Linked DNA regions of Lonchura striata. The protein of the gene in region 1 purifies or fractionates together with the protein of each later gene. This does not show direct contact. Links are inferred from orthologs where the notes say so. Each region holds a gene or a part of one and is shown in the gene's direction. Other genes may lie near its edges. The genes, in order: SIN3A, MTA2, ING2 and SAP130.

What was found.
Region 2: the proteins of SIN3A (region 1) and MTA2 purify together in Homo sapiens (affinity purification with mass spectrometry; 4 studies listed by BioGRID, with this or other methods). This does not show direct contact. The link is inferred for Lonchura striata from reciprocal best matches to the Homo sapiens genes SIN3A and MTA2.
Region 3: the proteins of SIN3A (region 1) and ING2 purify together in Homo sapiens (affinity purification with mass spectrometry; 5 studies listed by BioGRID and IntAct, counting the BioPlex papers as one, with this or other methods). This does not show direct contact. The link is inferred for Lonchura striata from reciprocal best matches to the Homo sapiens genes SIN3A and ING2.
Region 4: the proteins of SIN3A (region 1) and SAP130 purify together in Homo sapiens (affinity purification with mass spectrometry; 4 studies listed by BioGRID, with this or other methods). This does not show direct contact. The link is inferred for Lonchura striata from reciprocal best matches to the Homo sapiens genes SIN3A and SAP130.

The regions. Positions count from the first base shown.
Region 1 is NC_134613.1:5,631,476-5,639,071, forward strand, and holds the start of SIN3A (paired amphipathic helix protein Sin3a), read left to right. Parts: upstream 1-4,582; 5' UTR 4,583-4,626; intron 4,627-5,856; exon of another isoform or gene 5,857-5,933; intron 5,934-6,459; exon of another isoform or gene 6,460-6,696; intron 6,697-7,596. Other genes in the region: PTPN9 (tyrosine-protein phosphatase non-receptor type 9), read left to right, coding at 213-439. UniProt on the Homo sapiens protein: Acts as a transcriptional repressor. Corepressor for REST. Interacts with MXI1 to repress MYC responsive genes and antagonize MYC oncogenic activities. Also interacts with MXD1-MAX heterodimers to repress transcription by tethering SIN3A to DNA.
Region 2 is NC_134638.1:417,190-424,955, reverse strand, and holds the start of MTA2 (metastasis-associated protein MTA2), read left to right. Parts: upstream 1-4,751; 5' UTR 4,752-4,889; coding exon 4,890-4,917; intron 4,918-5,918; coding exon 5,919-5,986; intron 5,987-6,081; coding exon 6,082-6,175; intron 6,176-6,731; coding exon 6,732-6,849; intron 6,850-6,957; coding exon 6,958-7,021; intron 7,022-7,113; coding exon 7,114-7,231; intron 7,232-7,311; coding exon 7,312-7,414; intron 7,415-7,493; coding exon 7,494-7,593; intron 7,594-7,766. UniProt on the Homo sapiens protein: May function as a transcriptional coregulator. Acts as a component of the histone deacetylase NuRD complex which participates in the remodeling of chromatin.
Region 3 is NC_134606.1:32,346,740-32,353,607, reverse strand, and holds the start of ING2 (inhibitor of growth protein 2), read left to right. Parts: upstream 1-3,851; 5' UTR 3,852-3,986; coding exon 3,987-4,176; intron 4,177-6,868. UniProt on the Homo sapiens protein: Seems to be involved in p53/TP53 activation and p53/TP53-dependent apoptotic pathways, probably by enhancing acetylation of p53/TP53. Component of a mSin3A-like corepressor complex, which is probably involved in deacetylation of nucleosomal histones.
Region 4 is NC_134612.1:4,326,744-4,333,611, forward strand, and holds the start of SAP130 (histone deacetylase complex subunit SAP130), read left to right. Parts: upstream 1-3,852; 5' UTR 3,853-3,947; intron 3,948-4,377; 5' UTR 4,378-4,382; coding exon 4,383-4,494; intron 4,495-5,291; coding exon 5,292-5,527; intron 5,528-6,072; coding exon 6,073-6,231; intron 6,232-6,868. UniProt on the Homo sapiens protein: Acts as a transcriptional repressor. May function in the assembly and/or enzymatic activity of the mSin3A corepressor complex or in mediating interactions between the complex and other regulatory complexes.

The DNA.
Region 1 (7,596 bases):
TGGGGCATTTCCATCCTGGGGACTTGCGCTGTATTTGCAAGCTGGTTGACCTGAGACATGTCCTCAGGACTTCCCACAACCATCAGACTTGGGAGAAGTGCCCAGGTGCCTCTAGGAGATCTGTGGGGGGCTGAGCACCACCACTCCAGTTCTCACAAGGGGCAGTGATGGCACCGTTTGGTGTCTGACACCATCCCCATCACCGTCTCTAGGTACCTTCTGCGCGCTGGACATCTGCCTGTCGCAGCTGCAGGACGTGGGCACCCTGAACATCTACCAGACAGTGCTGCGCATGCGCACCCAGCGCGCCTTCAGCATCCAGACCCCCGAGCAGTATTACTTCTGCTACACCGCCATCCTCGAGCACGCCCAGCGCGAGGGCCTGCTGCTCACCAACCACAGCCGGGCCGCCCAGGACAAGAGCTCGCCGGGGCACTGAGACCCTCCGCCTCCCTGCAGACGCCGCTGCCCATCCTCGGGGGCTGCCCGTGTCGCCTCGGTGCCCGCCGGGACTCAGCAGAGCCGTGGGGGCGGCGGTGCCGGAGCACCTCAGCTGTCAGCACTGCTATGGAACTGTGCCTTATTCAACCCAAACGGTGGCTGCCACTTGCCGGCATGGGAAGGGGCTCTCACTCCTCCCCGTCGTGTTTTGGTTGGGTTTGGATGGTTGGGGAGGTGGTTTGTCTTCTCTTGTTTTTTTGTTTTGGTTTTGGTTTTTTTGTTGTTGTCGGGACCACCTAAGATGTACCTAGAGAGGGGCTTTGCAAAGTCCTAGGAAATGTATTCCCAGTCCTGGGGCTGAGGAAGAGGCACGTGCTTCGGTCTCACCTGAGGCTCCATCTGTGTGTCTGTATGTATGTGTGTATATAATATACCCCCGCTGTGACCCCCTGCCTATTATATAGATACATATATACGACCTCCCCTTTAGCAGCTCCCAAGGGTCCCCGCTGTCCTGCCACCTCACTGCTGTGACCTCTGGAGCGGTGAGTTTGGTCCTGGCTCTGTTTTGTCTTCCCCCTTCTCCTTATTTCCCCTCATGGGCAACGTTGGGACCCAGTACCCACTCCTGTGCCCATCCCGCCGGAGGCACAAGGATACTTGATAGTGTCCCCCGTTTCTTTGTCTCATCTTCCCCATGGAGAGGTAGCAGCTGTGCTCCTGGGAAGATCTGGAAGATTGGGTTGCCGGGGGGTGCCGAGCTGGCAGGCATCCCCTGCCCCTTGGGTGCCGCTGAGGGAGTCACTAGGTACGAGGTGACGGGGCCGTGGGGACCGACCGGCTCTCCAGGTTGCCCGGCTTTCCCAAGCTGCCGCTGGGAACCCGCGGGCCCAGCCCTGCGTTGAGTCATGGGCTGGGAAAGCGCTGAGCAAGAGTAAACCCCAAACCCTGGAGAGGCAGCGAGCCTCTGCCCCGGCCCCAACCCCTGCCACTGCCAGGGCCTCCCCAACTTTATACTGTAATAAGCTCTTTGAATGTGTATATTCTTATTTTTTTATAATCTTGGGGGAGGAGGGCACAGGGTTTGGGAGGTTTGGTTTTGTTTTGTTTTCTTTAGGGATTTTTTTTTGTTTGTTTTTTTGGGGTTTTTTTTGGGGGGGGGGGGTTGGCTTTTTTTTTTTGGTTTTTTTTGTATTTAACATTAACTTGATCCAAGCCGGAGCCAGAAGTATTTGTAAATGTTCCTATTTTGCTCTCAGAGAGACCTTTTTGTTGTTGTTACTTTTTTGGGAGTTGTTTTGTTTTTATTTGTATTGATATATAAATATACCACCAGTGACCAGTCCTCTTTGCTGTTGTGGGGGCATTGGGCAGGACAGAAGGAGGGAATTCAGGGTTTTGCACAGGCTGTGATCTCTAAATTCAGCTGGCCCCATCCCTGGCTACCTGTGAACTTTGAGGAGCACAGGGCTGTGCTTAGGGCTTATTCTGGCCTGGGTGAGGCTGAGACAGAGATAACCAGGCTGCAGGAAGCTTTCCTGGGCGGGCCGGATAGTGTCAGGAGGGAAGGCAGCACAATGAGCTGGTGTACCCAGGGGCGACACAAGCCACCCTGCTCCAAGCTCCTGCCTCTTCCCAGGGCCTTGACAAGCCTTAGGACATCAGTCTCTGTCTGGCCATGGTATCTGCCTGCTGCTGCCTTTTGCTGCAGGATTTGGGGGTGCAGACATCGCCTCTGTGCTTCTGAATCCCCTCTGAGCAGGCAAATAGGGCACAAAAATTAGGGGGAACTCCTGGGCTGTCAGGCAGCACCAGTGCCTTCAGGTGCAAGCAATGCCAGTCCCAGAGCAGCAGGCGCAGCCTGAGGCTTAGGGATGAGGGAATAAAAAAGGCAGCTTGTGCAAATGAAGCCCTAGAGCCAGCGAGAGAGCTCATGCCCCAGAGCAGGGCAGCTGGCGGGTGTGAAGAGCCGCACCTGTGTTTGTTCAGCTGGAGCCTAAAAACGTGAGGGATGCCAGTGTCTTTCTAGGACTAGCACAGGGAGAAGCTTTCCCCTGTGCTCTGGGGGTGGACTGGCTTGGCTGTGCCAAACTGAGGTCAGACACAAGCACTGCAAGGCTGGAAAAGAACCAGAGGCAGCAGGGAATCCGTCTGGAAGGGCTGCACAGGAGTGCACGAGAGGTGGGTGTTGGGAGCAGTCCTGGAGCTGTGCACATCCTGCCTGCAGAGTGGTTCTGGTTCAGCTGCCATGTCCCATCCTTCCAGGTACTTTTTTCCACCCAGCTCTCTCCTGGAGCAGCATCAGCCCAGGCAGTTTGCTCTGCTCCTGTGGCTCAGGCTGCCCCAGAGTTTCCCTCCAGGCACCTATTGCAGGGTGGCTCCTCTAAGAGAGCTCTCATCCTCTGAAGGAAGGCTCCTGTGGCCCTACCTCCTCACTGCCAAACTTTTTCACCCAGCTGGGCTTTCTTCTCGGCACACATGCAGGAGGGGAGTGTTAGCAGTTTATTGTTAATCCTGTGCTGTCAGCAGCAGCTCTCTGTAGCTCAGCGGGGCTTTTGGCAATGTGTTGGGTCCAGATCTGAAAGCTGCAGGTGATGCCAAGTGTCCTACGTGGCTCCACGAATGTGCCCAGCTCATGTCTCTCTTCCACTGGCTGTGAAATCCCAACGAAGCCCGCTCTGAGCACACGGTCAAGGTGGTTGTGCATTCTAGCTCAATTCCACGTGATGTGGGCACAGAGAAGCAAAATGTTTCCAAGATTCACGTCCTGGGTGTCGAGTAGGAATAACCAGAGGAGAGGGAGGGAGATAACCAGCGCTGCCTCTGAATGGGAACAGCTCGGATATGCTGCTCCCTTTGAGGAGTGATGAAGATCCCATCTGTGCTGGAGGCGGAGGAAAAGGTTGTAAACCTTTTCCATGGGAAAACAACCCAAACACACCCTCCCTTACTATTTCCAGGGCTGCCTTTCTTCTCAAAGCCAGCATTTTCAGTCCGCTTGCACAACATGATGTTTTGTTCCATCCATTCTGTCCATGCCAGCAGGTCCTACTCAGCAGTAGCAATAAGGATTTCTCTGGAAATGGTCACATCACACAGACAGCCAAAAGTTTCTGGAAAGAAAAACTTTGTATTGTTTGGAAAGCGGTGGGAAAAATGGGCTGTTGAGTGCAAGCAGCCTGATGCCTGGAGGATCTCCCCTTCCCTGAAGTGGCCCAGAGATAGGGATCAGCCACCACGGGCAAAAGTAACAGCACAGGCAATTCCAGGAACAAAATCCCAAGTTTCGCTGGAGTTTGGAAACAGGGATTTAAAGGCATTGCAGGGCAATCCTAAAGCGGCGCTGCCATCGCTGTGCCCACCTGTCTCATTTGGCTTTCTTGGCTGCATGCACGCCACCTCGCTAATGACGATTACTTTAGTGCTTGTAATTTTGCGCCCTGGGAGTTTGGAAAGAGCCTAGCTCCAGAGCTCTTAATTTCCCAGCCCTTCTGCTTCCTTGCCTCCGATTTCCAAGGTTCAGGCTCGATCTCCAGTGGCACTGCAGCCCGTGCAGGCTCAGAGCCCGGTGTCGAGAGCCCTTCCAGGGGTTAATCCGAGCTGCAGCTCCCAGCTGCGGAGAGCTCCTCTGCTGTGCCGGCTTGTCCCGGCAGCAGCCCTCTGCCTGCTCCTGCAACGCTCTCCCAGCCTGAGAGAGGGAAGAACAGCTGGAAAGAAGAACAAAAAACAACTAGATTTAGACCTTCTCTGAGTGAAGAAGGTGCTCGAAACACACACTTGAATAGAAGCGTGCAATATGTGTGTTTGTATTTCACCCTTTCCCGAGCACGCTCCAGACGCCCAGATGAGCACTGACGGGCGGCCAGGCCTGGCTCCCGCAGCCTCCGTCTGGGGAAGCCGGCAACCCCCTCCGCAACTTTGCAAAGGGAGAGAAACACGATGACTGACGGCACTGACCCCCACCTCCATCTCGCGTTCCAGCGGAGGGGAACGCCGGCTGCCGCCGCGGGGGCACCGGCCGGCTCGGCTCCCCCCGCCCTCCGCCGAGCGGCCTTTCCCTCACACCCCTGCCCGCGGCCCCCCTCCCGCCGTGGGCGGCGCGGCCGTGACGATCGGCGCCGCGGGGCCAATCCGCCCCGGGGGGAGTTCCCCCTCCATTCAGGGCTGCTCGCCTGCGCGCTGAGGGTATGTAACAGCTGCTTCCCCCACACGCACTTTCCCAGTTTCGCCCCCCTTCACGGGGATCGCTTCCCGAGCGCCGGGCCGGCGGCCGGGCGGGAACCTGAGGGAAAGGCGGCGGGGGGGGTGGAGGGGAGAGAAGCGCGCGCGCGCTGCGGATCCCGCCGGCGGGAAGCGCGCGACGGCGGCGGGAGCGGGCGGGGGGGGAGGCGAGTGACTGAGTGTGTGTGCGCGGGGGGAGGGCGGGGGCCATTGCCGCGGTGGCCACGCCCCCTTCCTGGCACGCCATTGGCTGCAGCCGCTGAGGGCGCCGCCCCCCGCGGCGCGCACTGCCCACGGTCCCCCCCCTCCTCCTCCTCGGTGCGTGCGTGCGTGAGTGTGAGCGTGTGCGAGTGTGCGGGGCGTGTGCGGGAGCCCGTGTGTGCGTGTGCCGTGTGCTCCCCGCCCGCACGTGTAACCGACCCGCCCCACGTGGGGCGCCGCCATCCCGGAAGTGAAGGGGTCGGGGACAAAAGGCAGCGCCGCGCCGCCCCCGGGACCGAGCCCCGCCGCCAAGTCCCCCCCGCCACTCCCGCCGCCGAAGCGGTTGGCGGCGGGGCCCGGGGCCGGTGGGGGGGCTGACGGGGGCAGCCGCTGGCGCGGGCCGCGGCCGCGATGTAAACATTCCACAAAAGGGCTCCCCAGAGAGGGGGGCGTGGCCTCGCCGGTGGCGGGCAGGGCCAATTCGCCGCGTGGGTGGGCTTCTCGGCGTGACGGCGGCGCGGCCCCGCTCGCCAATTGGCCGGCGCTCCGGTGTCGCAGCCAATAGGGCGGCGCGGGAGGCGGGACGGGGGCGGGGCGCGCTGCTTATACGGACATTTTTCTTCGGCGGTCGCTCCCCCCCCTCCTCTCCTCCCTCCCTTCCTCTCCACATCCCCTTCCTGGGGGCCGCGGCCAATAGGGGAGGGCCTGGTGGGCGGGGCCAGCGCTCCCATTGGCCGAGAGAGTGACGGGCGCGCGTCCCAGCCAACGGGCGCTCGGGGCTCCCCCCCTGCGCGAGGAGGGGCGGGATTTCCCGGGGAACAGAGAAGCGGGCAGCGCTCCGCCGCGGCGGCCGACAGACGGTTACTCCATCTTACCCCCCCCGCCGAGCCCCCCGCCCCCGCCGGGGCACCGGCGCCGCCCCCGCCCGCCCCCCCCCTCCGGGAGGAGGGGCGCGGGGACCCCCCCTTCTCACTGCGCCGGGGACAGCCCGCCCCCGCCGCCCGCCCGGGAGGTGCCCGCCACCCCCGGACCCTGAGGGAGACGCGGCCGCTGCCAGGAGCAGCTTCGAGGTAAGGAAGAGCGGGGCGGCGGGGACGGGAGGCCGCCGGGCCCGGGGCCGGCCCCCTCCGGCGATCCGTAGGGGGCGGGGCCCGGCGCCGGTGCGGCGGCGGCGCGGGGTTGGGGGGGGGCCGGTCGGTGCCCGCGGCGCGGCTCCCCGGGGAGCCCCGGCCCGCGCGGGCGGCCGCGCGTCCTCCCGCCCCGCCCCGCCCCGCCGGGGTGTCCCGGCCCCGGCATGGCGGGAGCGGCGGGCGGAGCGTGCGGCGGCCGCTGGGCGCGCTGCGAGCCGGGCGCCGCCTCCTCCCCCCGCCCCTCCGCCCGCCCTCCGCCCGGTGCCGCTCCCGGGCTGCGGCGGGACCGCCCCCGGCAGCGCTCGCCCGCATCGCACGGCCCCGGTACCGGCCGCACCGCGCGCCGGAGCCGCCGCCGGGGCTCCCGCCCGCCCGGGGGGGCGTTCCGAGAGCCGGCGGGGGGGGCGCGGTGCTCCCGGTCCCGGGGCCCGCCCAACTTCCCGCGGAGTTGCCGTGAGAGCGCCGTGCCGGGCCGCCCCCCCGCCGCCGTCCCGCTCCGGCACGGCCGCGGGCTCCCCCGTGGCTTCTCGCCGCTCTCCGGCTCCGTAGCGCAGCTCTCCGGAAGGACCTGTTGGAGCGACGCGTGGATGCAGGGAAACCCGAGAGCTCCTCGTGCACTCATTAATTTTCCTGCGATTTTTATAGCGAGCCGGATCCTTCTGCTCGTCCTCCCGTGCTGTGAACTTGGCAGACGCTTACGCTGGTATTTCATCCCTTTTTAAAAATTCTTCAGGCTCGTGTACATCCCTAGAAACTACTTTAAGGTTTGTAGGGTTTTTTTTGCTAGCAGGACCTAGTGGAGTTCAGGTAGCTTTAAAAGTAGGATGGTGTTTATGTCCGCTTAACTAAATCCTGGTTTTTCTGCCTTTTCCTGGCCTGGGTTCACGTTATTTGTGTGAATAGCACATGTGCTTAGATAGAAGTTACATCCCTGAAGAAACCTATTTATTTGGACCACTGAAATGGGGCAAAATTAGTTGTGTCAGCTCTATTTTAAACAAATTATCAAAGGCATCTCCAGCTGTGCGTGGATTTTCAGTCTCCCACGCTGTCTAGAGGAATCTAAACCTGGTCTATGTGTTAAAGTGTAGCTTAAAGATGACATAACACCTCATGTTTCTCTTTAACTTGCCGCTTTTAGTTGTGCTAAAAGGTGCAGGGTCAGTAAACAAGTGGGAAATGCCCAACTTAATTCAGTACAGCTGTATCTTTACTGGCCATTTTTCACTCCCAACTTGTAATTATTTTTCAAAATACACTTTCAGAAAAGTAAACATTATTATATAAGATTACATTACTATGTAGGATTAACTATATAGTGCAGTATTTTAAATTAAAATGGCATTTTATTTTAATATACTAATTTTAAAGCATCTGTAAGACTTCCTTCATCACATAAAGTGCCTTGGCAGCCTGGTGTCAGCCTGTGCTGGATCTCCAAGGACAGAAAAACACTTTTTAGGGTGTTTGTTTTTTTTTTTCCCTGCTGAGGTGAAGTTAGCAGTTTTTCACATGGGTACGCTCTTTACAAAAGGAAATCGTGCTTTTCCTCCCCCCAAACTGTCTTATCCTCATCCCTCCCACCTTCTGCTTCTGGTGGAGA
Region 2 (7,766 bases), on another chromosome or scaffold:
TTGTGGGGTCAGGGGGTGCTCTGGGGACAAGGGACGAGGAGCACACCCGGGCTGGGGACCCCCGAATTGGGGCTGGGGGTGGTTTGGGGTGCGGGGGGTGGCGGCAGCCCCGGTTTGGGGCTCTGGGGGGGTCCCGGGGACCCCCCGTGACCCCTCCCCACCCCCAGGACACCGGGCTCTGCGCCGACTTCCACCCCGGGGGACACGTGGTGGCCGTGGGGCTGCTGAGCGGGCGGTGAGTGACCGGGACACCGGGGGACACGGGGGGACACCGGGGGACACGGGGGGACATGGGGACAGGAGGGGACACAGGGGGACACGGGGGGACATGGGGGGACATGGAAGGACACAAGGACATGGGGGGACAAGGGGACACGGGGGGAGATGGGGACACAGGGGAACAGTGCCCATGGTCCCCCTGTCACCCCCATGTCCCCGTGTCCCCCCATGTCCCCGTGTCCCCCCCCATGTCCCCGTGTCCCCCCCATGTCCCCCTGTCACCCCCATGTCCCCGTGTCCCCCCCTGTCCTGTGTCCCCCCATGTCCCCGTGTCCCCCTGTGTCCCCCCATGTCCCCCTGTCCCCCCCATGTCCCCGTGTCCCCCCATGTCCCCGTGTCCCCCCATGTCCCCGTGTCCCCCTGTGTCCCCCCATGTCCCCCTGTCCCCCCCATGTCCCCGTGTCCCCCCATGTCCCGTGTCCCCCCCATGTCCCCGTGTCCCCCCCATGTCCCCGTGTCCCCCCATGTCCCCCCCATGTCCCCGTGTCCCCCCATGTCCCCGTGTCCCCCCCATGTCCCCGTGTCCCCCCGTGTCCCCCCATGTCCCGTGTCCCCCCCATGTCCCCGTGTCCCCCCATGTCCCATGTCCCCCCCATGTCCCCGTGTCCCCCCATGTCCCCCTGTCGCCCCCATGTCCCGTGTCCCCCCATGTCCCCCTGTCCCCCCCATGTCCCCGTGTCCCCCCGTGTCCCATGTCCCGTGTCCCCCCATGTCCCGTGTCCCCCCATGTCCCCGTGTCCCCGTCCCGCAGGTGGCTGGTGCTGGACACGGGCACGCGGCAGCTCCTGGCCGGGGGCTCGGACGGGAACGAGCAGCTCTCGGTGGTTCGCTTCTCACCGGGTGAGCCCCGCGTCCCCTGCCAGCCCAAACTGTCCCCAAACTGTCCTTGGCCTGTCCCTGATCCCAAACTGTCCCCAGACTGTCCCCAGATTGTCCCTGACCCCTCCCTGTCCCAAAATTGTCCTAAAACTGTCTCTGGCCTGTCCCTGATCCCTCCCTGTCCCCAGAATGTCCCCAAACTGTCCCTGATCCCTCCCTGTCCCCAAACTATCCCAAATCCCCCCCCAGTGTGTGGAACCCCCCCCCAAACCCTCCCAGGTCATGGGGCCCCCCCAGACTTGTGTTCCCCCAAACCCCCCAAATCCGTGTCCCCCCAAACTCCCCCAAATCCATGTTCCCCCCAAACCCGTGTCCCCCCAAATCCCCCCAAACCCTGTGTCCCCCCAAACCCGTGTCCCCCCCAAGCCCCCCCAAACCCTGTGTCCCCCCCAAACCCCCTGCCCCCCCAAACCCCGTGTCCCCCCAAACCCCGTGTCCCCCCAAACCCCGTGTCCCCCCCAACCCCGTGTCCCCCCCAAACCCCGTGTCCCCCCCAAACCCCGTGTCCCCCCAAACCCCATGCCCCCCAAACCCCGTGTCCCCCCAAACCCCGTGTCCCCCCCAAACCCCGTGTCCCCCCCAAAGCCCATGCCCCCCCAAACCCCGTGTCCCCCCCAAACCCCGTGTCCCCCCCAAACCCGCGTCCCCCCCGTTGCAGACGGGACCTTCCTGGCCATCGGCTCCCACGACAATTTCATCTACATCTACAGCGTGGCCGAGGGCGGCCGCAAGTTCAGCCGCTTCGGCCGCTGCACCGTGAGCTGGGGGGCTGGCGGGGGCTGGGGGGGGGTCCCCAAACCCCCCCGGACCCCCAGCGACCCCCCCCACCCCCCGCTGCCCCCAGGGTCACTCGAGTTTCATCACCCACCTGGACTGGTCCAAGGACGGGCGGTTCATCATGTCCAACTCAGGGGATTATGAGATCCTCTACTGTGAGTCTGGGGGCTTGGGGGGCTCCCCCTGGGGCTGACGAGACCCCCATGACCCTGCCGGGACCCTCCTGACCCTGCCGGGACCCCCAGAGCTGGGGGGAACCCCCTGGCCCTGCCAGGACCTTCCTGAACCTTCCTGGCCCTTCCAGATCTTTCCAGGACCCTTCTGCCCCTGCCAGGACCTCCAAAGCTGGGGGGAACCCCCTGACCCCACCGGGACCCCCCAGACTTTGGGGTCTCACTGTCCCCCTCCCCTGGTTCTTTTTGGGGGGGTGTCATTTTCCCTCCCCAGATTTTGGGGGTCTCTTTTCCCTTCCCCTCCCCAGCTTTTGGGGGGGCTTTCCCTTTTCCCTCCCTCCTCCTCCTCCCAAATTTTGGGTGCCTTTCACTACCCCCCACCCCAAATTTCGGGGTGAACTCTCCAAGCCCCCCCCAGCCCAGATTTTGGGGGTCTCTCCCCCCTCCAGGGGACGTGGCCGGGGGCTGCAAATTGCTGCGGAACCGCTTCGAGAGCCGGGACCGGGAATGGGCCTCCTACACCTGCGTGCTGGGCTTCCACGTCTTCGGTGGGTCTGGGGGCTCGGGGGGTCTCAGGGGGGGTTTGGGGGGGTTCCCCATCTCCCCAAGTGGTTCAGGGGGTGCTGTCAGGAGTATTTGGGTTTCTTTTAGGGTCCCCCAGCTCTCCGAACCCTCGGGGTGGTTCTGGCAGAGTATTTGGGGTTGTTTTGGGGTGATCCCCAGTTCCCCGAGAGCTTTGGGTGTTTCTGACAGGGTATTTGGGGTTTTTTTGGAGTCCCCCAGCTCCCTGAGAGCTTCAGAAGGTTCTAATGGTTTTTTTTTTTTTGGGGTCCCCCAGTTCCCTGAGCCCTTTGGGTACTTCTAACGGGATATTTGGGGGGTTTTTTTTGGGTTGCCCAGCTCCCCAAGCCCTTGTGGTGTTTCTAGCGGGGTATTTGTGGATGTTTTTGGGGTCCCCAGCTCCCCGAGAGCTTTGCGTGTTTCTAGAGGGGTATTTGGGGGTTTTTGGGGTCCCCCTGACCCCCGACATCGGCGCAGGGGTGTGGCCGGACGGCTCGGACGGCACCGACATCAACTCGCTGTGCCGCTCGCACCACGAGCGCGTGGTGGCCGTGGCCGACGACTTCTGCAAGGTTCACCTGTTCCAGTACCCCTGTGCCCGGGCCAAGGTGGGCACCGGGCTCTGGGGGGGTTTCGGGGGGGCTGGGGAAGGGTCCCAGAGTCCAGTTTGGGGGTCCCAGACCCCAGTTTGGGGGGTCAGGAGGGTCCAGACTCACTGCCGGTGGGTTGGCGATCCCAACCCCTGGACTGGCTGTTCTGGGGGGATTTGGGGGGGGGTCCAAATCCCAGATTTTTGGGCTCGGGAGAGTCCCAGACCCCAATTTGAGAGGCTGGGGGGGGTCCAGACCACAAATTTTTGGGCTCAGGAAGGTCCCATACCCCAAATTTGGGGGCTCCAAACCCACTGGGTGTTTTGGGGGGTCCCACACCCCAATTTAGGGGTATGGGGGGGGGGTCCAGACCCCAATTTGAGGGGTTGTGGGGGTGGTTCCAGACCCCAAATTTTTGGGCTCGGGAGGGTCCCAGACCCCAATTTGAGGGGATGAGGGGATCGGGGTGAGGGGTGGGGGTCCCACACCCCAATTTAGGGGTATGGGGGGGGTCCAGACCCCAATGTGAGGGGTCGTGGGGTGGTTCCAGACCCCAAATTTTTGGGCTCGGGAGGGTCCCAGACCCCAATTTGAGGGGATCGGGGTGGGGGGTCCCACACCCCAATTTAGGGGTATGGGGGGGGGTCCAGACCCCAATTTGAGGGGTCGTGGGGTGGTTCCAGACCCCAAATTTTTGGGCTCGGGAGGGTCCCAGACCCCAGTTTGAGGGGATCGGGGTGGGGGGTCCCACACCCCAATTTAGGGGTATGGGGGGGGGGGTCAGACCCCAATTTCGGGGGTCCCCCCCCGTTTGCGGGGGGGGGGGGGGGGCTGTATCCACGTGACCCCGCAGTCACGTGTCGCCCCCTCCCTCACAGGCTCCCAGTCACGTGTACGGCGGGCACGGCAGCCACGTGACCAACGTGCGCTTCACGCACGACGACGGACACCTGGTGTCGCTGGGCGGGAAGGACACCAGCGTCTTCCAGTGGCGGGTGCTGCCCGGGGACAGCGCCTGAGCCCCGCGCCTTCCTCCTCCTCCTCCTCCTCGCTGCTTCCTCTTCCCCCTTTCCCCCCTTCCTGGGACCAAAGAGCGGCTCGGGGTTTGGTGGAAAGCTTTCCCCCCCCGCCGCGTTTTCGCGCTGCACTGTGAGAGGCGTCAATAAAAGCCTTGGGGTCAGGGTAGGACCCCGCCGTTTCCTCCGGGATCGCCGCCGCTTCCCGGAAGCGCCGCGGGTTCTTCCTCCGTGCCCGCCCTCGGCGCCTTTCCGGTTCTGGCGGAACTCGCCGAGCGCGTTACGGAAAGAGCCGAGGTTGAGGCGAGGAGTGCCGGAGAGAGCCGAGGCCAAGCCGAGGCTTTCCCGAAAAGCGCCGAGGTCTCTCCGGAAGCGCCCGAGGCGGCGCCGAACCCGTGCCGGAGGTGCCCGAACGCATCCGGCAATACCCGAGTCTCTCCGGAGTTGCCCAAACCCTCTCCGGAGGTGCCCGAGAGGTCTTGCCGGAGGTTGCCGAACGTCTCCGGAGGTGCCCGAAGGGCTCCGAACCGGCCGTGCCGGCGCGGAGGCGGCGGGAGCGGCGATGAAGCGCGGCCGGGGCCGGGCCCGGGGGTAGCGCGGCCGAGCGAGCGGCCATGGCGGCCAACATGTACCGCGTCGGCGGTGAGCGGGCCGGGGGCCGCGGGCAGGGACCTCCAGGAGGGGCTCTGGGGGGGGCCCTGAGGGGATTTGGGGGTCCCGGAAAGCGGAGTGTGGGGGGGGGTTTGGGGGGGTCCGTGAGGGGATTTTGGGGGGGGGGGGGGTCCGTGAGGTAAGGGGGAGGCGTGAGGGGAGTGGGAAAAGGGCGGGGGGGGTTGTCTGTGAGGGGATTTGGGGGTTCCGTGAGGCGCGGGAAGGGTCGTGAGGGGAATTGGGGGGGGGTCCGTGAGGGGTCCTGGAAAGGGGCAAGCGTGAGGGGAGTGGGGGGTGGTCAGTGAGGGGATTTGGGGGTTCCGGAAAGGGGGAGAGGGTCTTGTGAGGAAATTTGGGGGTCCCGGAAACAGCGGGGGTGTCTTGTGAGGCAATAGGCGGTGGGGGGGGAGGTCCCGTGCGGGAATTTGGAGGGAGAGGATTTAGGGGCGGGGGGGGTCCTGAAGAGGAAAGGGTCCCGTGAGGGGGTTAAGGAGGTCCCTGAGGGGATTTGGGGTGTTCGTGAGGGAACTTGGGAGTCTGTGAGGAAAAGGAGGTGCCAGAAATGGGGAGGGTTCTTTAAGGGGTGTGCTCCTTTGGGACCCCAAATTCTGAGGCGTGGAGGTGGGAGACGGCTCCCCCCCCCAAAAAAAAAAAAAAAAAAAAAATCTAAAGAAAAAAGGGGGGTGGTCTCTGATGAGAAGGGAACCCGAGATTTTTTTGGGGGGTGTCCTCCACCCTCATTTGTGAGGGAAGGTCTGTGCCAGGGGGGGACCTCTGGTCTGTAGTGGGGGGCTGAGGGGGGGAAATGAGGGGGGGTCCTGTGGGGTAACAAACCCCGTTCCCATGAGGGGAACATCTGGCTGCAAAAACCCCCTGGATTTTGGGGATTTGGGTGGAACTAAGAACAATCCTGACAAGTTTGAGAAAAAGGATTTTTGGGGGGTGGGGCTGCCCTCGTGACCCCCCAATTTTTGCTCCCTATTTTTCCCCAGATTACGTCTACTTCGAGAACTCCTCCAGCAACCCCTACCTGGTGCGGCGCATCGAGGAGCTCAACAAGGTGAGACCCCTGCCCTGTTCCTCAGGGGGGTCTCCAAGCCTGGGGAGGGGGTCCCCAAGCCCAGGGGACCCCACTGACCCCCTGTGCCCCCCCAGACGGCCAATGGCAACGTGGAGGCCAAGGTGGTTTGTCTGTTCCGACGGCGTGACATCTCCAGCAGCCTCAACAGCCTGGCTGACAGCAATGCCCGTGAGTGGGGGGCTTTTGGGGGGTTTTGGGGAGGTTTTGGGGATTTGGGGGGCAGCCTTAAAGGACAGGCCAAGGGTAATGCCGGTGGGTGGGGGATTTGAGGGGTTTTTAGGGGGTTTATAGGGCGGTCTGTGGCTCATATCACAATGGGGTGCTCCCAGAATTTGGGGAGAACTGGTTTGACATTATTGGGGTAATTTAGGGGTGCTGCAGAGGGGTCTGTGACCTCTCCCAAAGGGGCGCCCCAAATTTGAGGGGGGGTTGGAGCTGCTCGGTCTCTCTCCACCTCTCTTGGGCTGAATTTTGGGGGGGTTTTGCCAATTTTGGGGCGGGGAATTACAGGTAAAGGACTGACCCCTTTGAACCATCAAACTGGGGGGGTCCTGCCCTTCCTGGGGGGGGTCTCTCCCCTCCCACGGCCCCTCCCCCTCCCTCCCCTCCCCCTCTTCGGGGCTGTTGCCAAAAGCCCAGAGGGGGTTTTGGGAGAACAATGGGCCCTCCCAGCTGGATTTTGGGGGAGGAACACCCCGGTGTGACCCCCCCGCGGCCCCCCCAGGCGAGTTTGAGGAGGAGTCGAAGCAGCCGCCGATGACGGAGCAGCAGCGGCACCAGCTCAAGCACCGGGAGCTGTTCCTGTCTCGCCAGTTCGAGTCCCTCCCGGCCACCCACATCCGGTACCGGGGGCAGAAACGGCTCTGGGGGGGTGGGAAAACCCTCTGGGGGGGCTTCCCCTGCGTGGGGAGGGGTTTTGGGGTGACCCTCTCCCCAAATTTCCCCTACAGGGGGAAGTGCAGCGTGACGCTGCTGAACGAGACCGACATCCTGGGGCAGTACCTGGAGAAGGAGGTGAGTTCTGTGTGCCCCAAAATGGGTCTGGGGGGGGATTTTGGGGGTCTCCCCACCCTGCTGAGCCCCCCCAATGTGCCCCCTCCCCACAGGATTGCTTCTTCTACTCGCTGGTCTTCGACCCCGTGCAGAAAACGCTGCTGGCAGACCAGGGCGAGATCAGGGTGGGCTGCAAGTACCAAGCTGAGATCCCCGAGCGTCTGGCCGAAGGTTTGGGGGGTTCGGGGGGGCTCTGGGGGGTGCAGGATGGGGGGGGGGTCATCCTGACAGCCCCCCCAAACCTCCCCCAGGTGAGTCGGACAACCGGAACCAACAGAAGATGGAGATGAAGGTGTGGGACCCCGACAACCCCCTGACGGACCGGCAGATCGACCAGTTCCTGGTGGTGGCTCGGTGAGGGGGGATCGGGGGGGGTCGGTGGGGGGTCAGGGGGATTGGGGGGACCCTGCTGACCCCCCCATGTCCCCCCCAGGGCCGTGGGGACGTTTGCCCGGGCGCTGGACTGCAGCAGCTCCATCCGCCAGCCCAGCCTGCACATGAGCGCGGCCGCAGCCTCCCGGGACATCACCCTGGTGAGGGGGGACCCCAGCCCCCTGGGCACCCCAAAACCTCCCTCAGAACCCTCAGTTCCCACTGGGAGACCCCCAAACCTCTCTAGAACCTCCTCATTTCTCACTGGGAGACCCCAAAACTTCTTCTGAACTCCTCATGTCCTGTTGGGACATCCAAAGATTTTTTTATATCT
Region 3 (6,868 bases), on another chromosome or scaffold:
GTACCTCAGGCAATAACACACAAAAAATCTTCTATTATGCAAAAAAAGGTCCTGGTTATTTTCCCTTAAATTCATGTGGATTCTTCCACTTACTAGAATGAAAAAGAATCAGGGTTCAGGGTGAGGTAAGACAAGAAAGATGGTTACTAATTCAGTAAGATTACCTTGTTACCATTTCTAACTTGGCTTCCCTGAACATCATCTGCACACCTCCCAAGGTTTTTTCACAGGGTGACTGGTTCTAGAGCTGGAAACCAAATCCACCGATCATTTCTGCTTTGCAACAGTAGCTGAGGAAGAGGAGTTACTTTCTAAATGCAATTTCCTGGAGACAAAGGGAAGTGTTACTTGAGACACAAGTGGACAGATCCAAGTTGTAAATGACAGGGAATGATCCATGTGGTGCTCTCATTGCAGTGGCCAGATGCTGCCCCTCAGCTGATCAGCAGTGTCCCCTTCCTCTAAGAAGCTGCAGTTCCTATGCCAGCCAAGCATGCCCCATAGCACCTGTGAGAAGCTAGTACTTAAGGAAAACAGAAAGCAATGTCTGGCATTACAGGGAAGTATCTTTTTTGGATGACCTGATGTTAGAGAAGCTTTTGAGAATAGCTTACCTGGTCAAATACAGTAGTATTATTATGTGAAACAGGACAGGAATCATCTGCATTTTGAGGATGTAAAATGAGGATTATGAAAGATGAAAGGCAAAACTTCAATTGGGGAAAATAAAAGTTGGATTAAATTTCTGGAAATAATTTTATCTTAGTAAAATCTGTAACATAATGAGATCATCTTTCACAAAAAGAAGGGGAATACTCTGGTTGGAACTTTAAAAACCTATACTGGTAATTTATAAAGAAATAAAAACTGTTGGTATCTATTCTCCCTGAAAACTGGGATTAGTTTAGATTCATTTAGATTATTTTAGCTTTTACTGGGATTTATTTATTTTATAAATAAATATAAATAAACTGAATATAGGAGCTCTCTGTTACTTACCCTTGGTGGACAGCTACTGAGATATGTTTGATGCAATACACACTAATATCACATCCCTGTGTATATCAACCTCAAGCTGACAGTTTCACACTTAGCAGAGAGGGTTGGTGGAAATATATGGTTGTTCTGCCTGTCCACCTCTACAATTAGCAAGGTTTTGCTCTACCATGCAAGTTCCTATCTGCAGATTCTTCTCACATACAGACAGTGAAAGAAAGGACATAGTTGTTTCTCAGAGATGTCTATCAACCTGCAAACTTGAGCCCAATGCATCAGAATTCTCCTGTGCTTGCTCCTAGCAATTTTGAGGCATGAGCAAAGTGGAGAATTCAATCTGCCATTCTTGCTTTCCTTTACTCTGAGGCTTCAAATATGCAGCAAGCTAAGGCTTCTTTTTTCCTAGGGAAATCTGGTCCAGTGCCATTGTTGTGTTCTTATGGTTCCCCAAAATTTAAATTTTTATTTTAGTGTTTGAAACAGCAGACAACACTTAAATTCAGAAGTCATTAGCTATTCTCTGCCGTACCTTAGATACTGATTCCCCCATAGTGACAAACAGCAAGCTTTTAGCACAGAAACCACCTGCTTGTTCATAAAAAATATTATTAATTATTTTCTTGGCTCTTTCTTTACTGACAGTGCATACACAGTTTCTTGTCAGGAAAAAAAAGTTATGCCAAAATGTTTGGTTTAAATTCATACTTAGTAGTAATTAGCATTTAATTTTAAATAACATGTTAATTTTGAATAAACATTTTTGCTTTATTTTTAGTGCTCTGTAGGGGAATCTCCTATTTCATAGCTTTATTTCTTCATGAGATGGCAGAATGTTACACCCATTCAAACTTACTAAAAGCAGAAACACAACCCCTCAAAACAGCCAACACTTTTCTCAATAATATTGTATCAATTATATTAATCCAGGTCCTTTTCACTGGCATACAGGTAGTGCTTTTTGCCTGTACAGTAAGTGTTATTTGTTAATATTATTAAAAAAATTCAGTCTTCAGTTACTTCAGTTACTCAGAAGTGACAGCAATGAATGCTGTAAAGTGCCAATGGAAGCCAAGTGCCAATGGAAGCCAAGGTAACCAAGTTATTGCCACTTTCTATATGAGGCTTCGTTAACCTGAGCTGTAAGAGTGAAAAAAAAAAAAAAAAAAAAAAAAAAAAAAAAAAGCAGCGGGTTTTAGAGGTGTTACTAGAGGTGTTACACTGTAAATTAAAACTGTTAATTTTAAAATGAAGGTGCCCTCTTAAGAACATGAACACAGAATTACAGACTTCCTGTTTTTTTGGCCAGAGTGACATCAGCGTAGGGAAGGATGTTTTGAAAGTACTGTCTACAACTTTGTTTTCATTCATTTTTATGACCTTGCCAACACATTGCTGACTTGGGCAAAGCTGACTGATTGCAGCTACAATTACTCAACAGCTTGGACACAGACATATGCAAATCCCTGCCATGGAAAACCCCCTTGCCTAGTGGCTGCTTGACTTGGAAGTAGGAATGTTTAAATAGTTCTGTGAACTAGGGTCTTAAGAAAATAACACTTGCAGACTGCCATCATGTGAGACACTAATTTTCCTGTATGAGTAGCCATGGAGCTATTTGGCGTAGACCACACAGTGACAGAATTCCAGGAAAAAGGAGTCTGGATGGGATCCTTGGGGGGCCACCAAAGCAGAGCCAGCTTCACAGCCAAATCAGGTTGTGTCAGGCCCTATCCAGGGAGCTTGAAAAATATCCAAGAATGGAGATTATGCAACCTCTCTGTGCAACCTGTGCTGCTGTTTCACCACTACTCCAGATCATGCCATCCTGAAATGCTATCTACAAGATAAGTATGGGTACTCTTTTAGTGCTGGCTACTCAACTAGAGGTAGGAATGTAAGACAGAAGGGAGTTCGGGGATTTGAATTTACTTCTTATTTTCAATTTTATTTCTGAATTCAATAATCTGATTTTTCTTTGTTTGGTTGGTTTTTTGCTGCATTTACCATATGCATTTTCCCTGGATATCTTTTTGGATGACTAAAATATAAATGAAACTATGCAAAATATACAGGTCTCTGCAGGAGGTTTCAAGATTTGACAAAATTAATTTTCTTTTCCTGATGCTTACCAATAATTATTCATGTACTAAAGACCTGAAAAATATCCCAAAGAGAAGTGGAGATGAAATATCAACATTTTATAGTATAGATGTATACATTTATAGTATAAATATATATATATTTATATGTATATAGTCAAAAAGTGTAATTTAACTTTTGTTTCCTAGTATAATTGTTGTGGCAAACATGTAATAGAAATTCTGCAACGGGAATGGGAAAGACATGGATACTCTGTCAAATTTTTGAGATTGTGTCGTGCTGTGTGGTGAGTGGCTTTTAATGGCCAAAGCTCGTTGATGCCTTATTTAAAATACTCTTGCAATGATTTCTCAGGATAAAAATGTCACTCAGCTTCCCTCTTTGCTCTTCTTTAAAGATAAGTCAGGTGGCTCTTCCTGCGGGCAGGAACTTTCCGCGCTGCCCCGCGGGGATCTCCGCCGGGGCGCGGAAGCGGCGGCGGCGCCTTTATGGCAGGCCCCGCCCCCCGCGCGCCCCCGCCGCGCGCCAGGCCAATGGGAGCGCGCGCCTGGGAAGGCGGGAGAATGCGAACCCCTGGCAGCGCCGCCAGCCGCGCCTTATAAGGGCAGGGCCTCGCGCATGCGCGCTGCGCGTAGGGGCGGGGGCGCCGAGCGGGGGTTTTGCTCCGGCGGCGGCACCGCGGGAAGGGGCGCGCGACCCGCGGGACCCCGCGGAGGGGCGGCCGCACCCGCACCCGCCCGGCCCGGCCAGCGCTCACCGCCCCCCGGGCGCGGCCGCCCGAGGGCAACGGGGCGGCGGCAGCAGGAGGAGGAAAAGAAGAAGACGGAGAAGGGAGCGGGGCCGCCGCAAGGACCCCGCGCCCGGTGCGGGCGGCGCGGCGGCGGCGGCGGATGTGCTGCTGGCGCGGGGGGATGATGCTGGCGGGGCCACAGCTGGTGGCGGGGCCGGCGGCGCCGGGCGGGGAGCGGGCCCGGCTGCTCTCGCTCTACGTGCAGGACTACCTGGAGTGCGTGGAGTCTCTGCCGCTGGACATCCAGCGCAACGCCTCGCTGCTCCGGGAGATGGACACGCAGTGCCAAGGTGGGCGCCGCCGCGGGGCACCGGGCGGCGGGGAGAGAGGGGAAAGGGACGGCCTCCACCCGCCGCACATGCGCCCGGCGCCGAGGAGCCGGGCCCGGGGTGAAACCCTGCCGGGGCCCCGCGGGGCTAAGCCTGCGGGGGCGCGGGGCTGCCGGCGCCCGGTCGGTGCCGGGGGAGGCCGCCCCACGGCGGGGCCGCGCCGCCCGGCGCTAGGCCCCGGCTCCGCCGTTTGGGGTCGCTTCCGCCCCGCCGGGCAGCCCCGCTGCCGAGCCGGCGGCGCCGCTGGAGGTGGGGTGCGGAATCGGCCTCCCCGCGGCTCCTCCCGCCGCGCGGGCCGGGGGGCGGTGTCGCACGGCAGACCGCACGCACGGCGGGGCGGGGATACGCGAAGCGCCGGCAGCCTGCACTTGGGTCGTGGAGGGAGGCTGCGGAGCGGGAAGTTGCCCTAAACCTCCTCCGGAGGCACGGCTCCTTCGGGAGGCCAGTTCGGTGCCGATTAAAGAGCGTGCGCCCCCCCGGCGGGGCACAGCGGTGCCCGGCAGTGCCAGCCGGCCCTGCCGCGAGGCAGGAATTTGATCCCGTGGAGTCGGCACTGGAGCCGCATCTCCCTCCTCCAGCGTGGGCAGGAGGGGACCACGGGCACCGTCGAGGCCTCTTAGACGCTGAGGGGCCACCTCAGGAGGCAGCTGTTGTGAAGGGATTCTTTCAATTATCTTTCTAATTACCCGAGAAAACACATAAGAACAGGCTTTTGTAAGTTGCCTGGGATTTCAAGTTTAAAGGGCATAGATTTGCCTGCAGCATTTTGAATTCCTAGTCAAGGCTGGCTCTTTACCTCCTGATCCATGGTGGCTTGCCAGCAATCATCAGACTTTAATAGATAAAATATTTTCTTTAGACTCCTTATTAATGTGTATTTATCCAGCCACCAATACTGGGCCATAAAAAAAATGTTGCTAATTTTAACCAAAGCCTTCAACTGTTTAAAAAAAAAACAGAAACAAAAAATCTTCAAAACCCTAAAAATGGGATAAAAATATTTAGACCCAAGCCTGAAAATGTAAAAGCAATGCCATATTATTTCGGCTAATTTAAAAGGTAGAGATGGTGTGTGGATGAGGGAAAAAGTCAGTCTTGTACTTAGAAAACAAATAATTTTAGCTTTTATTAGCTCCACCAAACTTCATCAGATTATCTGTAATATACACTTGGCCCTGGTTTGGGTTGGAGTTTTTTTTTGTGGGGATTTTTTTTTTTTTTTACAGAGGTTTCAGGGTTGTTTATTAGGGTGTATGAATGCCTTGTCTAATCTTTGGGGATTCACAAGAAGTTTGGTAAAGTTTGGTAATCTCTGTCAGTCCAAAACTTCTTTGCTCTCTTTAGTGGATGTTGATCCGTGTAAAGTTCAGCATATCTTCACAGGCTGCATCCAGGCAATAACCGACGTAGGGTGAATGTTGTTCTCTGTCACAGTATGAATGAGCAAACAGCTATTGTTTGTGAACGGTTCTGGGTAATGCATTCCCAGTACAGGAAATCTATCTAATCTATCTGTACCTACACTTCTGCCTCCAAAAAAAGAAGTCTGGGTGGGAGATAGTGTGGTTGTACAATATTGTGCTCTGGTTATACCTTACTTGTTCAACAGCATACAAAGTACCCTACTCCATGCTTCGCAGGAGCTGAGAGTAAGATTTTTAAAAATTTAATTTCTCTTGTCAGGGCAACAGGCAGGGGATGCAGCTGAAGGTACAGGGAAACAAAACTTATGGTTTAAATGGTAGCTGGAATGCTGATATTAAAATACAGAAAACACAGGCTGAGTTACTGGACAGGCTAGAGAAGTGATTTTTATCTTACCTTAGAGAAGGTCTGGAACAGAACAAAATTCAGTTGGCTCCTGTTGTCATACAGGTTTCAGAATTTATAGTAAAAAGCAGTTGGTCATGCTTAAGCTACTGTTCCAAGATAGCAGCAGGAAAAAAAAATATCACTAGGAATGATGCTGAGATGACAAGCTTGAATTATTTACAATAGTGCAGACAAGTTCTTTTAAAATGAAAGCAAATTATTTAAATGCAGGTCTTTAGGAAGAGGTAGATTGTACTACATAACTTCTGTTTTAGAAGTAAATAGTTTAATACCATTTATAAACTCCCTTACCTGTTCAAATAAAATCCTAAGTTCTGATTGAACCAATACTGTACCTAACACTGTACATCAAGTTCCACTGTCAGCTCTTCTAATTATTTCCTTCCCTTTTTCTTCTTAATGTGTAGATCTAGTGTAACATTTGGCTTGGAAAAAGTAATTTTAAAATACAGCAATGTAGAACAGCAGAGTACAAGACTAAGACTGATTTATAAGACATTTACTGATCTCATATTCGGGTTCATTAAACTTGCTGCTTAGAACTAAATTTAGTGAAAGATTCACAGCAACACATGCAGTTATTTTGCGTGACTTGGAAGAGGGAAAGCTTGAGAATCAAACTGTGAGCCACTCATTTACTAGTTGCTTAAAAATATCCTATGATGCACTAAAGAGAAGGTCACCTATTCTGAAAAGTTCAACCTTGATTTAAAATGTAGCTTGCTGTAATTTGTTTTGATAATCGGCAACGTATTTTGAGGGGTGTAAGTTGATTTTCATTCTGATTGTAAATTTGCTATTATGTAACTTCAGTTGTCAT
Region 4 (6,868 bases), on another chromosome or scaffold:
AAGATTTTAATACTGCATTTAATGCAATGCATTAATGAGATGATCACACTCTCACCTGGGCTTACAAAATCAAAAACTTGGAGAGGCAAGGAATTTACAAACTTACTCCTGAGATGCAATTAAACCTAAATCAATTCCAGCTTCCTCTGTGTTTATGCTTTCAAATAATGTTTATGCTTTTGTTCCAAGATGCCAACACCACATACATCTTGCTTTAAGAGTATTACAAACTGCACACATTTCAGACTGGGTGAGAAAACAACCCACTGTTCATTTTGTGGGAGGTAAAATCACACTGTGTGTTAGCACAGATCCAGCAGCTGTGGACTAATGCAGGCAAGGGTGAGGTTCCCCAGTCAGTCCTTTAGGTTTTTTGGGGAATGAAGAAACAAGTATTTCCTGGCTGCACCAAGCACCACCAAATTTAAAAGCTGAAATATGAATGAAATAATGCAAACAGACTAAAATTATACAACCTACTGAGAAAGTAGAAAAAAATCATTCCATTTCTTTATTATCCTTCATTTTGTGTATTTTCAAGCCTTGTATTCTCTGGCCTACACACCAAAAAAAAGCTGAGTGGAATTTCCTTGCCCACAACTCCTAAACTTATGGAAGACCTGAATTCTTCTGTTGGCTTTCCATTACAGTCTCCAATGGTTCAAGCTTTTTTTGCCCCTCTCTGACTATAGTATATTTATATTTATTATGCCCCCAATATGCACTCAAGTGCTCATTGAGTTCTTTATCTTTTTTTTCCTAGTAAACTTATTTTCCATGTTCCCCCTGCACCTAAAAAAACATCCTAATTCAATTCTACATATACCACACCCAACAACCTGCCAGGATCTAACTTCTGTCTCTTTTTTATTACCATCTCAATATAAAGGACGGGGTTATATATCTGTAGCTCTAAGCTACCTGTATATATACAAAACAAACCAAATCCTTCTCTCTTTAAAAGTTTATACCCCTCCAGCCAAATGTTTCCCAGCAATAACTCAGACATTATTCTTTCTCTGGGAATAAAACCAGAAATTCCTGCTGTGATCCTCAAAGAGCAGCTTGGTCAGCTGCACAGGACATTTGTTTTATGTCACACCTGGGAAGCAGACAGATGGCATCACAGAACGGGCACAGCCATCACTCCCTGTGTGCAGAGGGGGAAGCTCAGCCAATATTTGTAGAGTGAAACATTGGCTTCTGCCAACTGACACGAAAAACCAATTCACAGCTCCTCTCAGAGATGGGTCCTTCTTATTCTCTGCAAATCACACACTGGAGCTTGGAATAGGTAAATGAATATACCCAACAGCACTCTCATGGCTAAACCCCCCAGTGCTGCTCTCTTGTGCCTGCTTTCCTGCTCCGGGAAAGACTGAATTAAAAGCCTTTTTCTGTATGAAATAGGAAAGAAACCAAAGGACACATCTGACACCTGCTAGTTTAACCAACTGAAAACCTGCAGTTTAGAAATATCTACAAATCCTCAACAATAACAGCCATAAAACAAAGGAATGACCGATCTCTCAAAGAAAAACAGACCATGGAAAAAGAGGTAACAGGCACGGGAATGAACAAAATTGACACAAGGCGATCCAGCTTTGTGCCAGGTAACACAACAAAACCCAATCTGAATTACGACACCGCAAAGCAGTGTAAATATTTTTCCTCCTTATTTTTCTTCCAATTATTCCGTTTAAAATACTCCGGGCAACTCGCACATCCAGCCTTGGGGAGAGGAATAAACCAGCCCACGTTTACAGCCAGTGCCCTCTGCCAGGCCGGTGTGGTGGCAAGCGGGTGAAGGGCAAAGCAAAGCGCGCTGCCGCCGGGAGCGAGGGGCAGGTCCTGCTGCAGGCACAGCGCGGGGCACCGGGACGGGCACCGCGCACGCAGAGATCACGGGAACCAGCGGGCACCGAGCGCTCGGGTCGGTCCCGCAGAGGCGCCCGCTGCGCTGCCCCGCGCCACCGAGGCGCCGAGCAGCCAGGGCTCAAAGCACACACGACACCCGGCCCGTCACGGCGCTGAGGGTGCCGGGCATCAAACGCAGCCTCCGCCGCTCCCCGCTCCCGCTGACCGCCCAACCGATCCCCGCGGGGGCCGCTGGAGGGACGCCGCCGGTGCCGGCCCCGCAGCGCGGCTCGCCCCGGCCGCCCGCCGCCCCCGCGCCCGCCGCGCCGCCGCTCCCTCAGGGCCCCGCGGCCGCGGTTCGCACCTGCGAGCGGCCGCGCGCCGCCCGGCTCCCGCCGCCCGCGCCGCTTCCGCTTCCGCCGCCGGCCGGCGGCGCCGCGCAGTGACGGCGGGGCCGGGCCGCCCGCAGCCCGGCCCGCGGCCGCCGGCGAGCGAGGCAGCGCCCGGAGCGAAGGCACGACCTGTGGGTTTCGCGTGGCATTGACTGGCCCTGAGCAGTCGCCAGCCTGTGCTGCCGGGAGGACACCCTGCGCAAACAACTGCTCGTTTATTAAAGCGTAGAGACGTGGGGGGAACTGAGAGCAGCATACGGCAGGTTAAAGCCAGTCGTTCTTCATTTATCTTCTCTGCACCTTTCACACCTTCTCTACCCTGTTCATGCCGGAGGGGCCGGCTCTGTGCGGGCTCCGTGCCCGGCCGCCCCCGCCGGACACGGAGGTGCAGCAGCAGCACTGCGGTCCCGGGCGGGACGCGGCAAGCCAGAAGGAAGCTGTAAATCCCGGCAGGCAGAGGGGAAGGGAATGTCTCAGGATGGGAGCTGAGCCGCAGCCCAGGCGGGTGTCCTGAGAGTGACATCGCGCCGCGACAAAGTGCTGCTGCTGGCCACAGCTTCCCCAGCGGCGCCAGCACAAACACTGTTTGTGTTCCTGTTCACAACACAAGCGCTAAGCTTTGCGGGGCACACCTAGGCATTACTTACATGTGTTCCTAACATTTCAAAGGTTTACTCCTGGTTTAGTTTTAAATCATTATTAAAACTCTGAAAGTGGCAGGTGTCTGGCTGAGTTCATTTCTAAGCCTCGAAACATGAGAAGAATACTATCTTGAAGACTGGTGGTGTTCTGATGTGTCTGTAAACAAACGCCCGGCACTGTGGGCTCTCAGGGCTGTGATGTGCGTCATCTCCCAGGTTTGGGGGGGGGGGGGGGGGGTGGTTATTATTATTACTTATATTTTTCCGTCTATCCCAGTGATAGGGGAGGGTAGGGTGCCCCGCCCCTATCCCCTTGTCCCTAACCAGGATGAGGGTTGGGGACTTCGGGGAATCCACCCCCCACCCCCTGAATTTTAGGGGGTTTGGAGTGCTAAGCCCCAGGGATCCCCAGAGCACCCACATGTCCTTGTGTCCCTTCCCAGGACTGGGAGGAGCACTTTGGGCGGGCCCCTCAGGGAGTTATGGGGGACCGCCCGAATTACGGAGGTTTTGGGATGTTTTTGGGATGCTGACTCCCGCCGTACCCTCCCCAGCGCCTTCCCGCCGTGTCTTCTTGTCACTGCCCAGACTGGGTGTTGGGGACTCTAGCGGGGAAGGGGTGGTTTGGCCGGGTGTGGAGAGCAACAGCGGGGTGCGGAGCTCGGGGTGGCGGCTGCAGGGGGTCGGCGGGGGCAGGGGCGGGTCGGTGCGCCCCGTTCTGGCGGGCGCGGCCCGGGCTGACCGCGGCCTGTCCCGCCCACCCCGCGTCTCCCCGGAGACCTGGCGGCGCGCGGCCAATGGCGCGCTCGGCAGCAGCACCGCCCCTCCCGCGCCTCGCGAGATCTGCGCCCGCCACCATCCCAGCACGGACTACATCTCCCGGCGGCCCCGCGGGGCGGGCTCGGCAGCCAATGAAACGCGGCAGCCCCGGGTAGGCGGGGCTGGCCGGGGCCAATCGGGTGCGGGCGGCTGCAGCGGCGGAAGCGGCGCTCGGCAGCGGCGGCGACGCGGGGCGACCGGCCTCAGGGACCGGCGCACGGCACCGCCCCGGGCACAGGTACTGCCGCGGCCGGCGCACGGCATCGCCCAGATCTGCGGATCGGGGGTGGCTTTGCGGAAAGGCTGCGGGTAGCGGGCGGCGTCCGCCGCTTCAGAGCGCGACGGCGGCGGGGAGGGGGGGTGGAGCGAGCCTCCTGCCGGCGGAAGCGCGGCGGAGGGGGCATCGCGAAGGGACGGCGGCAGAGCAGGGCGGCGCGGCCTGGCCCGAGGCGGCGGGGCCGTCGCGCTGCCGGGCACATCCGGGCCCTGCGGCGGCGCGGCGGGGCGGGGCGGGGCAGGGCGGGCGCTGATTGGCCGGCGCCGCCCCGCCGCCATTGGCCGGGCCGGGCGCGAGCCGGGGTGGGTGGGGCCGCGGGGCCGCGCCCGGAGCGCGGGAGGGACGGAGGGAGGGAGCCGGGCCGGGCTAACGGCCGCGCTGCCGCCCGCAGGTGACATGAGCTCGCAGCAGTTCCCCCGGTCGGGCGCGCCTCCCGCCGCCCTGGGACCAGCGCCGCCGCCCATCCCCACCAGCGGCTCGGCCGGGATTATCGCCCCCGCCGCCACAGGTAAGCGCGATCCCGGCCCCGCGGCTGCCGCCTCCGGGGGCGGGCAGCGATCCCTGTACCCCGCCCCGTCCGTCGCGCTTTGCGCCGCGGGCGGGAGGAGCGAGGCGGCCCCGCGGCCGTGGCTGGAAGTGCCGAGGTTCCGCGTGGGGAGAGCACCGGGGGCAGCAGGGCGGCTGCGGCTCGGGACAGCGCCGGCAGAGCCGGGATGCGCCTTGGCATCCCTGCCCGGGGCCTGTGCGCAGGTGCCTGTCCCGCTCCGCTCGGCCCTCTGTGTTCTTAGCACAAGCGGACGTGGGAGCATCTCATGGAGCTGGAAATGGGGTGCGAACTGTGGTCCCAGCTCCTGCTGTCCCTGCCACGATGACAGGTTTCCAGAAGTGACTGGGGGGGCAGCTTCATTTTCAGGAGGTTTTATACTTGTTTTCAGCTCGCTATTCAGATACATACTGCATTAAATGTGTAGTTTTTCATGCTGTTTGATCTGGGACTTAATGGCAGTTACTTAGATAATTACTTTTCACTTGAAAGAAAAGTTGGTCCATCTGTGTTTAAAGAAGGTGTTTAGTTGGACTTCTCAGAGTTGACCCCAGGTTCCCCAACATTGCCCAACCCATCAGTTCTCAGGGGAACAGACAGAAGCAGTGCCAGAGTGCCCAGTTTTTCCATCACTGGAATATGTTTAATTCTAAGAGTGAACTTCTTAAATTCCGGTATTTCCAGTGTCTCATCTCTGACCTAGTGGGTGACCAAAGCAAACTTTGTAACGATTCTTACCTTTTTTTCCTGTTTCTCCCTAGTGAGTGACGAATCCAGTCGTGAGCCAGAAGTTGCTCCCAGGGAGCACATGGGCCCCAGTGGCTCCATCCAGCCTCGGGAGGAGAAGCAAGAGCCCGTGGTGGTCCGGCCCTACCCACAGGTCCAGATGCTGGCACAGCACCACCCTGTCCAGTCTGGTGCTCCAGTGACAGTGACAGCACCACCAGCACATTTGACTCCAGCTGTGCCACTTTCTTTTTCAGATGGACTTATGAAGGTAATGAGAGGATTCATTGGGGAAAAAAATATAATCTGTATGAGTCGGTGTTGGGAAAAAGTAAATTGCACCAAAACCTTCCCTGCTTTTTATTCTAAAGCTTTCTTTGCATGCTTCTGCTAACTGTGCAGTGCCTTGTGGTTTTGGCTGATTCAGAAGATACACTGAGGACTTGCTAGTATTTTAGCATTATTTTTGAGGGGAGTGTATTTTGTTTATCTTTGAGGAAAGCAGTGATTTCAATCCGTTTTTGAAGTCTTCCAGTGTCTCTTCAGGATATAAAGTTTATATCCAGTGTCTGTAGCACAATACCATAGCCCTGACAGAGTCCATTGATGATTCATGCCAGAACCTGCATATTTCCAGGACAAAATATGCCCTTTCTTTGTTTGGAATAACGAAATGTTCAGTGTTTTTCCTCTTCAAATATTTAGCCATGCTTGCATAAACTTTCTCCTCAGGCTTTGACCCCACAAAATGATTGCTGCTTCAACACTGAGCTCTCCTTTGAATTGCCAATGTTTCTGTTTTTCCATTTCTTGTAGCCTCCCTTGAAGCCCACCATGCCCAGCCGGCCCATTGCTCCTGCTCCACCCTCCACTCTCTCAGCTCCCACAAAGGTCCCTGGGCAAGTGACTGTGACCATGGAGAGCAGCATACCACAGGCTCCAACAATCCCTGTGGCAACTATCAGTGGGCAACAGGTCTGGTTTTTTGGTGGCTTTTCTGTTCCATCTCACTGCATGGTCAGATCAATACAAGTACAGCTGAGGTGGGCTTTTGCAGCAGGAGGGAATGTAAAGAGAGCAGGTTTCCCTGTTCAGTGCTGCTGCTTGTTGGATCAGTTCTGCTTGGACCACTAAGTTTCAGGCTTGGTTATCACTTTCTCTTTATAAAGCTGCTGATGTGTTGGGATCATCCAACTGAAATAGCACAGCCAGGCTGTGATGACAGAGCCATACCCAAAATCTGGGTCTTTCTTTAAAAGCTCCTGCTGTGTCAGTGTCACATGGAGAATTTCTACTGTAGAGAAACTGCTGGGATTCATTTTTGCAGTGTTCTTCAGTTTCTCTGGGAGGAGATCAGAAGAAACTTGTGAAAAGTTCCTGGGTTTTCACTGTTCTTAGTGAACGAGGAGTGACAAAATTTGATGGAGTCTGTGTAGATAATGGTTTTGAAATTTTTTCCCTAACTTGACTGCAGAGCCAGCCCTGTTGGTTTGAAAATAGTTTGTCAGAACACTCATTACTAAACCTCTCAGGGTTTTGTAAAGTACCTTTACATGGACTTGAATTAGTCTGGCTAAGGATGTGCAGCAATTTCAGTGGATTTAGCCTATAT